Linked DNA regions of Drosophila melanogaster. The protein of the gene in region 2 interacts with the protein of the main gene of each other region in a pairwise test. Each region holds a gene or a part of one and is shown on either strand. Other genes may lie near its edges.

Region 1 (4,509 bases), on a different chromosome or scaffold from region 2:
TGCAACAGATTTGTATTAGACAAACGGGTGTGTGAGTCCGGAAAATTGCAACTTAGTTGCTGTGGCAGGCAATAAAATAAAGTCTTAGCCAAGCGCCAGGCAAAATCTGGGGGCACTTTTAATTTGTTGTGCAACAAATTAGCATTTATTTTCATTACGATTCCAACTTGCCGGGTGTGTCTGTCTGCCTCACCGCCTCATCGCCTTTTTCCATTCATTTTTTGTCAGCTCTTATGCACGTTGTTTGCTTTTAATTATAAATACATGTAAGCTAAGCATTTTTAACCCTCGGTCGTGCATTATGATATACAACTTTTAAAGGTAATGTAAAATAATTCTTATATCGTATTATAACTTTATATGAAAATCAATAATACAAGTAAGTTAAATGTGGTATTTTTAAGCTACAACGAAAGAGCGTGGATAATATTTACAGAATGTAAAATGCCATAAGCTATAAACGCTGCTTTAGCTGTTCTAAAAAAAAATCCATTCACATCTTTTTTTGCCCATCCACATTATGCCACCCCATTTTTGTGCAATGGGTTAATGCAGCAAATCCCCGCCATGCAACATAGAAATGTGCGCGGAATTCTTGCATTCAATTAATGCGTGTGCGAGTATAGAAAGCATCGCTGCGTCGCCGCTGCTGACCATTCTCGTCCTCATCCCAGAAACCATCTGCATCCGTATCCCTATCCCTATCCCGATCCCTATCCCTGTGGCCATAGCCATAGCCATAACCATGACCATCGTCATCATCACCTTGCCGTCGCTGGGCATTATCCAAGTAAGAGCTCACGCCCGACTGAGCGCCCAACGAAGCTGAAGACCACGGTGCGGATGAGTAACGCTGCCTGCCATAAGACCAAGGATGCCGATGGGAGTTTGTGCCAGCATACGGGTTATAGTGGTGCTGATAGTAATCGGAGCCCGACTCCGATTCAAAGTCGGGCCGGGACGAGTGGTCGATGTGTGTGCGATTAGGATAGAAATCGCCGCCATCGGAGGTGGAGAAGGTCTGAGGCGGAGGTCGGCGCTGCCCGTAATTATAAGCATCATCATTCGCGTTGTGGGGCCGATAATCGTGATGATTTTGCTGAGGGTTCGACTGGTACTCCATTGGCTGGCGTTGGGGCGGCTTATTGGCCATCTCCGTGTGACGGCTGTAGGGCGATTGCAGCACCACCGTGGGCGTAACAATGGAGGGCGGCACACTTGGCTCGACGGCCGGAACTAAAGCAGCCTGATGATTCCAAGATGATGCCGCTGCCGATGCCGTTACCGATTCGGTGGCCGTTGTCGAGGTCTGTTCGCGTGAATTCATCTCGGCTAATTTGTTGAAACGATTGCGAGTGCCGCTGGCTGTGAGCACCATCACGGTGGGATTCATGTCAGCCATATGATCCTTCAGGCAGTTCTGCAGCATGTTAACAAAGAAGAAGAACGAGAGCAGCGTTAGTGCGTTCATCACCGAACCGCTGCTCTTCTTCGATTTCTTTGACGATTTGGTGGGCGGAGGAGCCGGTGGTGGACCAGCCGGCGGATGGTGGGCAGATGGATATGCGGGCCCACTGCCCGCACTACTGGGATGAAAGGAGGAGAAGCTACCCGAGGGTGGGTCATGCTGCAGCTCGTACTCCACGGATGGCTCTATGCCGCTGCAAAATTCAAACTGGCATTAGATGCGGAACTTGCACTGGAATTGGGGTTATGGTTTGACTTTGATGGCCAGTGCACAGGAAGAAATAGGTAATTTAGGTTGATAAGTTCGAAACTTTAGTATTCATTAGTATCAATATTATTAAGTATATATTCATCTTCAAATAGTTATTTATATTTTTTCATAACAGTTTAATTTCTTTGTATATTTGGAATGAATTTTCTTGTTCATCCCATTGCTTTTCTCTCAGTGCAGCGGTGGTTCTTTGCTTACCCGTAGCCGGAGTGTCCGCTGCCAGCCGCCGTGGCCGCATAAGCACCGTTGTGGCTGCTGGCGGCCGCCAGGAGCGGTGGTCGTCCCTGCTGCCCCTGGTATCCTTGGTGTCCTTGGTGGTAATGGCCCGGCAAGTAGTGGCTCGGGTAGTAGTGGTTGGGATAGTAATGCACACGCTGCGTTTGACTGCAAGAGAAGGTTAGAAGGTGAGTGGTGAAAGCGGGCAAGCGGATGAGTGAGTGGGGGGGGGGGGGGGTTGGGCATGTGGTTGTGTGGCCGAGACGCCGCTTCTGTTTGTGTCCCACATTAGCCCGGCTAAGTGCCTGAGGTATCAGTCCGCGCCCGCAGTGGCTGTCTTTTGGGCCAGGGGTCGTTTGCGATTGCAGTTGCCTCCGGCACTCCAGCACTTAATCTTTAAGCCAAAGAGCACACTTTATCCTGTTGCAACTGACTAAACTCTTTCAAGGCTCCTTTAAGCGATTATTAATATTACGTAGGATAGAAGAAAGAAGTTTGTTAAAGCGTTTAAGTTTTGCATATATCAATGACTGAAAAAGAATTAATTCATTATTTACGATGTTGTTTAGCAGGACTTCTTGATAAATATATAAAAAGCACTTAAGCGAGTTCAGATTAACAATATAATTCTAGGGAACTGAGTGAGTGTGCCACTTCTTAATTATATCAAATTTAATTTGATTTGGCTGTATGGCAAATACAGTCGACATCCCAATGCCTTTGACCATGGCTTACGCATAATTATTTCCTGAGATGGCTGAAAGCAGCGGATGTTGTTCCTGCTGTTGCACGTTGAGTTGATTTGTCATTTGGCCGTCGGACATTTTCACCGTCTTTGAGTTCACCAAATTCAATTGCTAATTGATTTGTGCCGAAAAGCGCGCATGTTTATCACTACACGGTGCACCAGCGTGGCTCATTGTCGCTGGTGCTCAACCTGCCATAAACCGATGGCAACTCGACTGCAGAAGCCGCAAACAGGACGATCAGGACTAACAGGACGAGCACGACGAACTGGAGTTTGGGGCTGAAGCAGCAGGAGATGATGCGCCCAACCAACCGCAAGTGACAATGTCGTTTAGGCAACTGGGCAAAGCCTTTCCCAGACACTTGCCTGGCAGGCGGCTATTAACGCAGGTGAACTTGAAGTGGGTGGTAATCGTGGTGGTGCTGATAGTGGTGTTGCTGGTGATGCGGGAAAGAAGAGAGGCAGGCGACTGTCATTGTCAGCTGCTAAGTGAGTTTGGCTACAACTAGCAACTTGCAACTGCAACGGCCTTAAAACAACTACTCAATGGCAGTGTTGGCAGGTACGGCTCGAGCAAAGCATTTGTACCAATACTTAAACTAGGTACAAGTACAAAAATTACAAAAAACATAGTAACTCACTTATTAAAAGAAGAAGTTATAGATTCTAAACGAGAGCTCCTTACTTTATCCACTTTGCTATATTGCTTCTTTATTGAATTTCAGGAAAGGTAATCTTTAGTATCTTAATTTAATTTTGTACTCCGTGGAGAAAGTATTTCCATTTCCCATCACTGTTCGTAACACGTACCCAAAAGCCAGCTGACAATTGCCGGCAAAGTGTTTTGTGGCGACAACGGCCAACTGACACACACCTGAATTGGAGCGTTGCGTTGCATGCATGCGCTGCACATTTCGGCCAGGCCAGACAATTAGTGAGCGACAAAAGGCCGGGAATGCTCCTTGGCATCAACCCCCCCCCCCCTACACTCCTCCTACTCCCTACCCTTACCGATTCCTGTCAGTGTTAATGACGCTCCAGTCGCTTGTTTATTGCATTAAAAGCTCTATGGATGCAGCGTTATGCATCAGAAATTGTCATAATTGTGCCATGTCTGGCCCAGACTTTGCCACTGTCGTCTGTGCAGCCAAATGGAGCTCGGTTCTTGTGGTCCCTTGTGCGGTTAGTCGAACCCGGCTTTTGGTTGGGGTCCACTTCCACTTCTCCACATCCACGCCTTTGGTCTTAAAGATTTATGACTGGGGCTAATAGTTTTCATTGCCAGAAAAGATTTTTATATTGAATTGAATTTTATGGGGTATATTAGTGCTGCTTATATCAGTTATCACACACTACAAGTGCTCTGATCTTCCACTAACTTTTTCTAACTATATTTAATTGTAATATATATACTACTTTTAAACAAGAAGTATACAACTCTTCGATCACAAACATAGCACAGTCTCGAAAAATCCCTGTCTGTTGTCTTTCGTAAAGCGGAAACATTAGACTGCAATAACAAATATTTAACATTTCCGCAGTGCTAGCGACAACGTGGAGCAAAACAAAAAAGAAAGAACAACATCAGCTAGATTTGCAGAATCAAAAGCATATAATAAATTGCACTGCAACTTTTCCACACATTTTCCAGCTTTGTAACGCTTTGATTTGTCGCGCTGCCCCAACCCCCAAAAATTTGGCCCACAGGAAATGTTGGGCAAAAAACTATGGAAAAGAAACTAGAGGACTTTTGCTGATTCTTCCAAAAAAAAGGGAAGCATATCGAAAAGTCAATTGCCTTGCGGGG
Region 2 (4,779 bases):
GTTATAGCTCTCTATAGATTAGTATACTTTGATTAGAGAAGCTTGAAGCCTATGGTTATTTGGTTTATCCAATCAAACTGCTATCATTTTATTACTTATCATGCGTTCCAAACGTTTCCGTTACGTTCTTATCAGATGTGTGTGTCAGTTGTTAATGTAAAAGTAGAAAACGTTTTTAAAATTAATGAAGTTTAGGGATCTAAATTCTAAATATGCTTTCCAACTTTGCAGCCCTTCAAGCTGCACCGCCTGGACGAAGGACCCGCCACGGAAGTGAAGCTGACCAAGGATCAGGCCCTCAAGTACTACACACAGATGCAGACGATCCGTCGGTTGGAGACGGCCGCCGGTAATCTGTACAAGGAGAAGATCATTCGCGGCTTCTGTCATCTGTATTCCGGCCAGGAGGCATGCGCCGTTGGCATGAAGGCGGCGATGCGGGATGTGGACAACATCATCTCGGCGTACCGTGTCCACGGATGGACCTACCTGATGGGCGTCTCACCCAGCGGCGTACTGGCTGAGCTCACCGGTGTCCAGGGTGGCTGTGCCCGCGGCAAGGGTGGCTCCATGCACATGTACGCACCGAACTTCTACGGAGGCAATGGCATCGTGGGTGCTCAAGTTCCTTTGGGTGCCGGCGTTGGCTTGGCCTGCAAGTACAAGGGCAATGGCGGCATGTGCCTGGCCCTCTACGGTGATGGTGCCGCCAATCAAGGACAGGTGTTCGAGGCTTACAACATGGCCTACCTGTGGAAACTGCCTGTGATCTTTGTCTGCGAGAACAACAACTACGGTGAGTGCTGTAGAAAGTGGAACAATGCTAAAAGATATTTACTTAAACCAAATGTTGTATAATTATACCCATTAGGAATGGGCACCAGTTCTGAGCGTGCTTCCTGCAACACTGATTACTATACCCGCGGCGACGCTCTGCCCGGAATCTGGGTGGACGGCATGGATGTGCTGGCCGTGCGCAGCGCCACCGAGTTCGCCATCAACTATGTGAACACTCACGGACCTTTGGTGATGGAGACGAACACGTACCGATACTCTGGACACTCCATGTCCGATCCGGGCACATCGTACCGCACACGCGAGGAGATCCAGGAGGTGCGCCAGAAGCGTGATCCCATCACCTCCTTCAAGGAGCTGTGCATCGAGCTGGGTCTGATTACCACCGATGAAGTTAAGGTGGGTTTGGCTTATAGGGTTTTATTTTTGTTATGAGTTATGATTGCTAAAAGAAAAAAACATCTTCCAGGCCATCGATCTGAAGGTACGCAAGGAGGTCGACGAGGCCACCGCCTTCGCCAAGTCCGATGCCGAGCTGGGCGTGAGCCACCTCTGGACGGACGTGTACTCCAACAATCTGGAGCCCAAGCTGCGCGGCACCATCGCCTACGATATTGATCACATCCAGGAGCGCAAGGGCGTCAATCACTAAGTCATCGGGCCAACGAATCTGATTCGGGAACTCACAAGAACCTTAAACGAAACAAGAAAACCGAACAGCAAACACAAATCACTGACAGACAGACAAGAAGACACAATAACTCAGAAACTTGGACACAAGCGAAATCTCTAGATCATAAGCCGAAAGTTGAACGATGAGAACCCCGTAGAACGGAACGGATCCGAAGAGACCCACAAAAAGCTTAGCTAATCGGAGCACTCCAACCACACATCGTAGCGCACCACATAACTCTGGGGTACTGCATTGGATATTATATTGCGAACGTGTTCAATAAGGATAAAGCGAGGTGTAAATTGTTGAAAATATAAAAATCTAGAAAAATTAATCCAAATTAGTTTTCTTAACAAAAGTGAATCAAGTATGTACTTTTGAAATGTGAAAATCTCAGTCTGTTTCACCTATACTTGCACTATAGAATTTTGATAGATTTATAAGATATTAATAAACGGAATAGATTTAATAGATAATTCGATTTGTGGAAGAATTACAGTTCGAATCAAAGTAGTATTTGAAAAGGAGCAGTTGTCAGCTCCATAAGCAATCCCAAAATCGTTATATTTCCTTCTCGTTCTGTTTAGTGACAGTTGCCATCTCTGTCGATTTGCTTATGATTTTACTGTCGATTTCTTTTCGGTTGAGTACAAATCCATTTTTCAACAATTTCCGATCATATTCAAAATTTTAGTGCGTGGCAATTGCCCATTTGGCTACAAGCTCATTTTAGTGCCCCGGTGTTTGGGAATTGGTATTCGGGCAAGGGCCAATGATGAAGTTCAGTTGTGTCCGCGTGGCGATGAGATGCAGTGGAGCCCACTCCATCCTCGAGAGAAATATGCTCTGCAGGATAATAGGGCGCCACAAATGTAGCTGTTTGACCCTGGAGAACGTAAGTGTTTTGATTATCACAAGAAGGTCAATGGATAAGTAAATACCATTGAAAAAAGCTATATCGTAAAAGTTATATTTTTCATTTTGAATTAAATTATGTACTCTGAAAAATGTTTAAATATTTGCTGTTAAGTATAGCTGATATAAATCTAACATAGAAACGACTTAATCTGCTCATCGCGTAGACCAACACTGAATATAGACATAAGCTGCTGATATTTTTCAGTGCTGCACAACACATAGATTCTTCTTGCGTTCCTACTAGAGCAGCATTCCGAAATGGGTTACTTTAATGATTTTGTTATGCCCGTTGCAGACGTTCAAGTGCTACGACCTGGAGAATGGACCCACAATGGACGTGGAGCTGTCCAGGGAGGACGCCCTGACGATGTACACGCAGATGCTGGAACTGCGCCGGTTCGAGACGGTGGCGGGCAACTACTATAAGGAGCGAAAAATCCGCGGCTTCTGCCATTTATATAACGGACAGGAGGCCGTCGCTGTTGGCATGAAGCAGCGTTTGAGGTCCTGCGACTCGGTCATAACGGCATACCGTTGTCATGCCTGGACCTATTTAATGGGTGTTTCCCTTTACGAAATAATGGCGGAATTGTTCGGAGTTCGAACTGGATGCAGCCGGGGCAAAGGTGGCTCTATGCACATGTACAGCGATAAGTTTTATGGCGGCAATGGTATCGTTGGTGCCCAAGTTCCGCTCGGCGCGGGAATTGGCCTCGCGCACAGTTATCGCAAGGACAACGGCGTGTCGGTGGTCCTTTATGGTGATGGTGCCGCCAATCAGGGCCAGATCTTTGAGTCCTTCAACATGGCCAAGCTGTGGTGCTTGCCCTGCATATTCGTTTGCGAGAACAATCACTACGGCATGGGCACCCACGTTAAGCGGGCCTCTGCCATGACGGAGTTCTACATGCGTGGCCAATATATCCCTGGTCTTTGGGTCGATGGCAATCAGGTGCTGGCCGTGCGTAGCGCCACCCAATTCGCCGTGGACCATGCCCTCAAGCACGGACCCATTGTGCTCGAGATGAGCACCTATCGCTATGTGGGTCACTCCATGTCCGATCCGGGTACATCGTATCGCTCGAGAGAAGAAGTCCAATCGACGAGGGAGAAACGCGATCCGATTACAAGTTTTCGCAGTCAGATCATCGCCTTGTGTCTCGCCGACGAGGAGGAGCTGAAGGCCCTGGATGATAAGACTAGGAAGCAGGTGGATAGCATTTGCAAGAAAGCCACCACCGACAGGGAGGTAGAACTTGATGAGCTGCACACCGATATCTATGCCAAGAATGTGGATGGTAAGATCCGCGGCGTGTCCGGATTCCATTTAGAGCACATCAAGCTGGCGGAGGTGTGCTTTGGCAAGCCGAAGAAGACGCCGGCCAGCGAGATCAACGACGTGCCAGTGGGCGCAGAGATTGACGTGGCCAAGGCCAAGGAAAGGAAGGCCAAGCAGGATGCCAAGAAGGCCAAGGAAGCCAAGGAACCTAAAGGTGGCGACAAGAAGGGCGCCGACGCCAAGCAGCCCAAAGGCGAGGGCGACGATGGCGATAAGAAGCCAAAACCAGCCGCACAGCCGCCCACCAAGGCGCCACCCGCTCCCAAAAAGTAGTATGCCCCCACGGAATGGAACACCATCGTTAGCTTTTCAGCAAGTTGAAAGTTTCGCCAGAGTGCTTTAGCTGGTTTCTGAACCCAAAAGACGCAAGCAAATTTATGTAAAACATATACAGTATGATTCCGTTTTGAGTTGGAAATGGCGAACTTAAAATATATATTAATTAATTATATTAGTAATGCAGTTTTCGTTTTAATTTTTTGCTTTTTGATTTGAAGTATAAGCATTTGTATTGAAAGTTTGAAAGTTGAAAGCATAGATTATGAAAAGATACGGTACTTTTCAGAGCTTTTGGGCAAAGCGTTTGGAGCTTTTTCTAACGGACACCTGTAGCAACGCGCTCCATTTCGCGCTCCTTGGCGGCAACTGGCTGGCTAATCGAGCGGATCTGTGGGGAGATCAGAGCGGTGCACTCATTTTATCATTCCGCCTAAATGGCTTCTTATTATTCTTCTTGGTCTTATCTCTACCGTTCGGTTGAGATGAGAGCCACGCGCTGTGCACCCGCCCTCTCTCACGTCCGCACCCTCTCGCTCGCACACCTGCCCGTTGTGCGGGGAATATAGTCGATATGACCGATCGGGGGATTCAGTCTCCTCGCGATGCTCTGGCGTTGATCTTCGCCGATCTTCACGTGCTAACCGAGGTCTTTCCTGTCGCCAGTCCACTCTTTTTTTTTTTGTTTTTCTTTTCTTTTCACTGCGGGTGTGTGTGTGTGTTTTTTTGGTTTCTATTGTAAAGTGTGTGGATTGATTGATTGAGGAGCATAAACATA

Evidence for each region.
Region 1: the proteins of CG7024 (region 2) and CG13407 interact in a two-hybrid assay, tested with the Drosophila melanogaster proteins (one large-scale study listed by BioGRID).

The regions. Positions count from the first base shown.
Region 1 is NT_033777.3:22,101,683-22,106,191, reverse strand, and holds CG13407 (uncharacterized protein), read right to left. Parts: upstream 2,779-4,509; coding exon 2,690-2,778; intron 2,123-2,689; coding exon 1,937-2,122; intron 1,662-1,936; coding exon 602-1,661; downstream 1-601.
Region 2 is NC_004354.4:4,703,324-4,708,102, forward strand, and holds CG7024 (uncharacterized protein), read left to right. Parts: upstream 1-1,985; 5' UTR 1,986-2,240; coding exon 2,241-2,363; intron 2,364-2,681; coding exon 2,682-3,998; 3' UTR 3,999-4,181; downstream 4,182-4,779. Other genes in the region: Pdha (pyruvate dehydrogenase E1 alpha subunit), read left to right, coding at 232-796, 872-1,194, 1,265-1,447.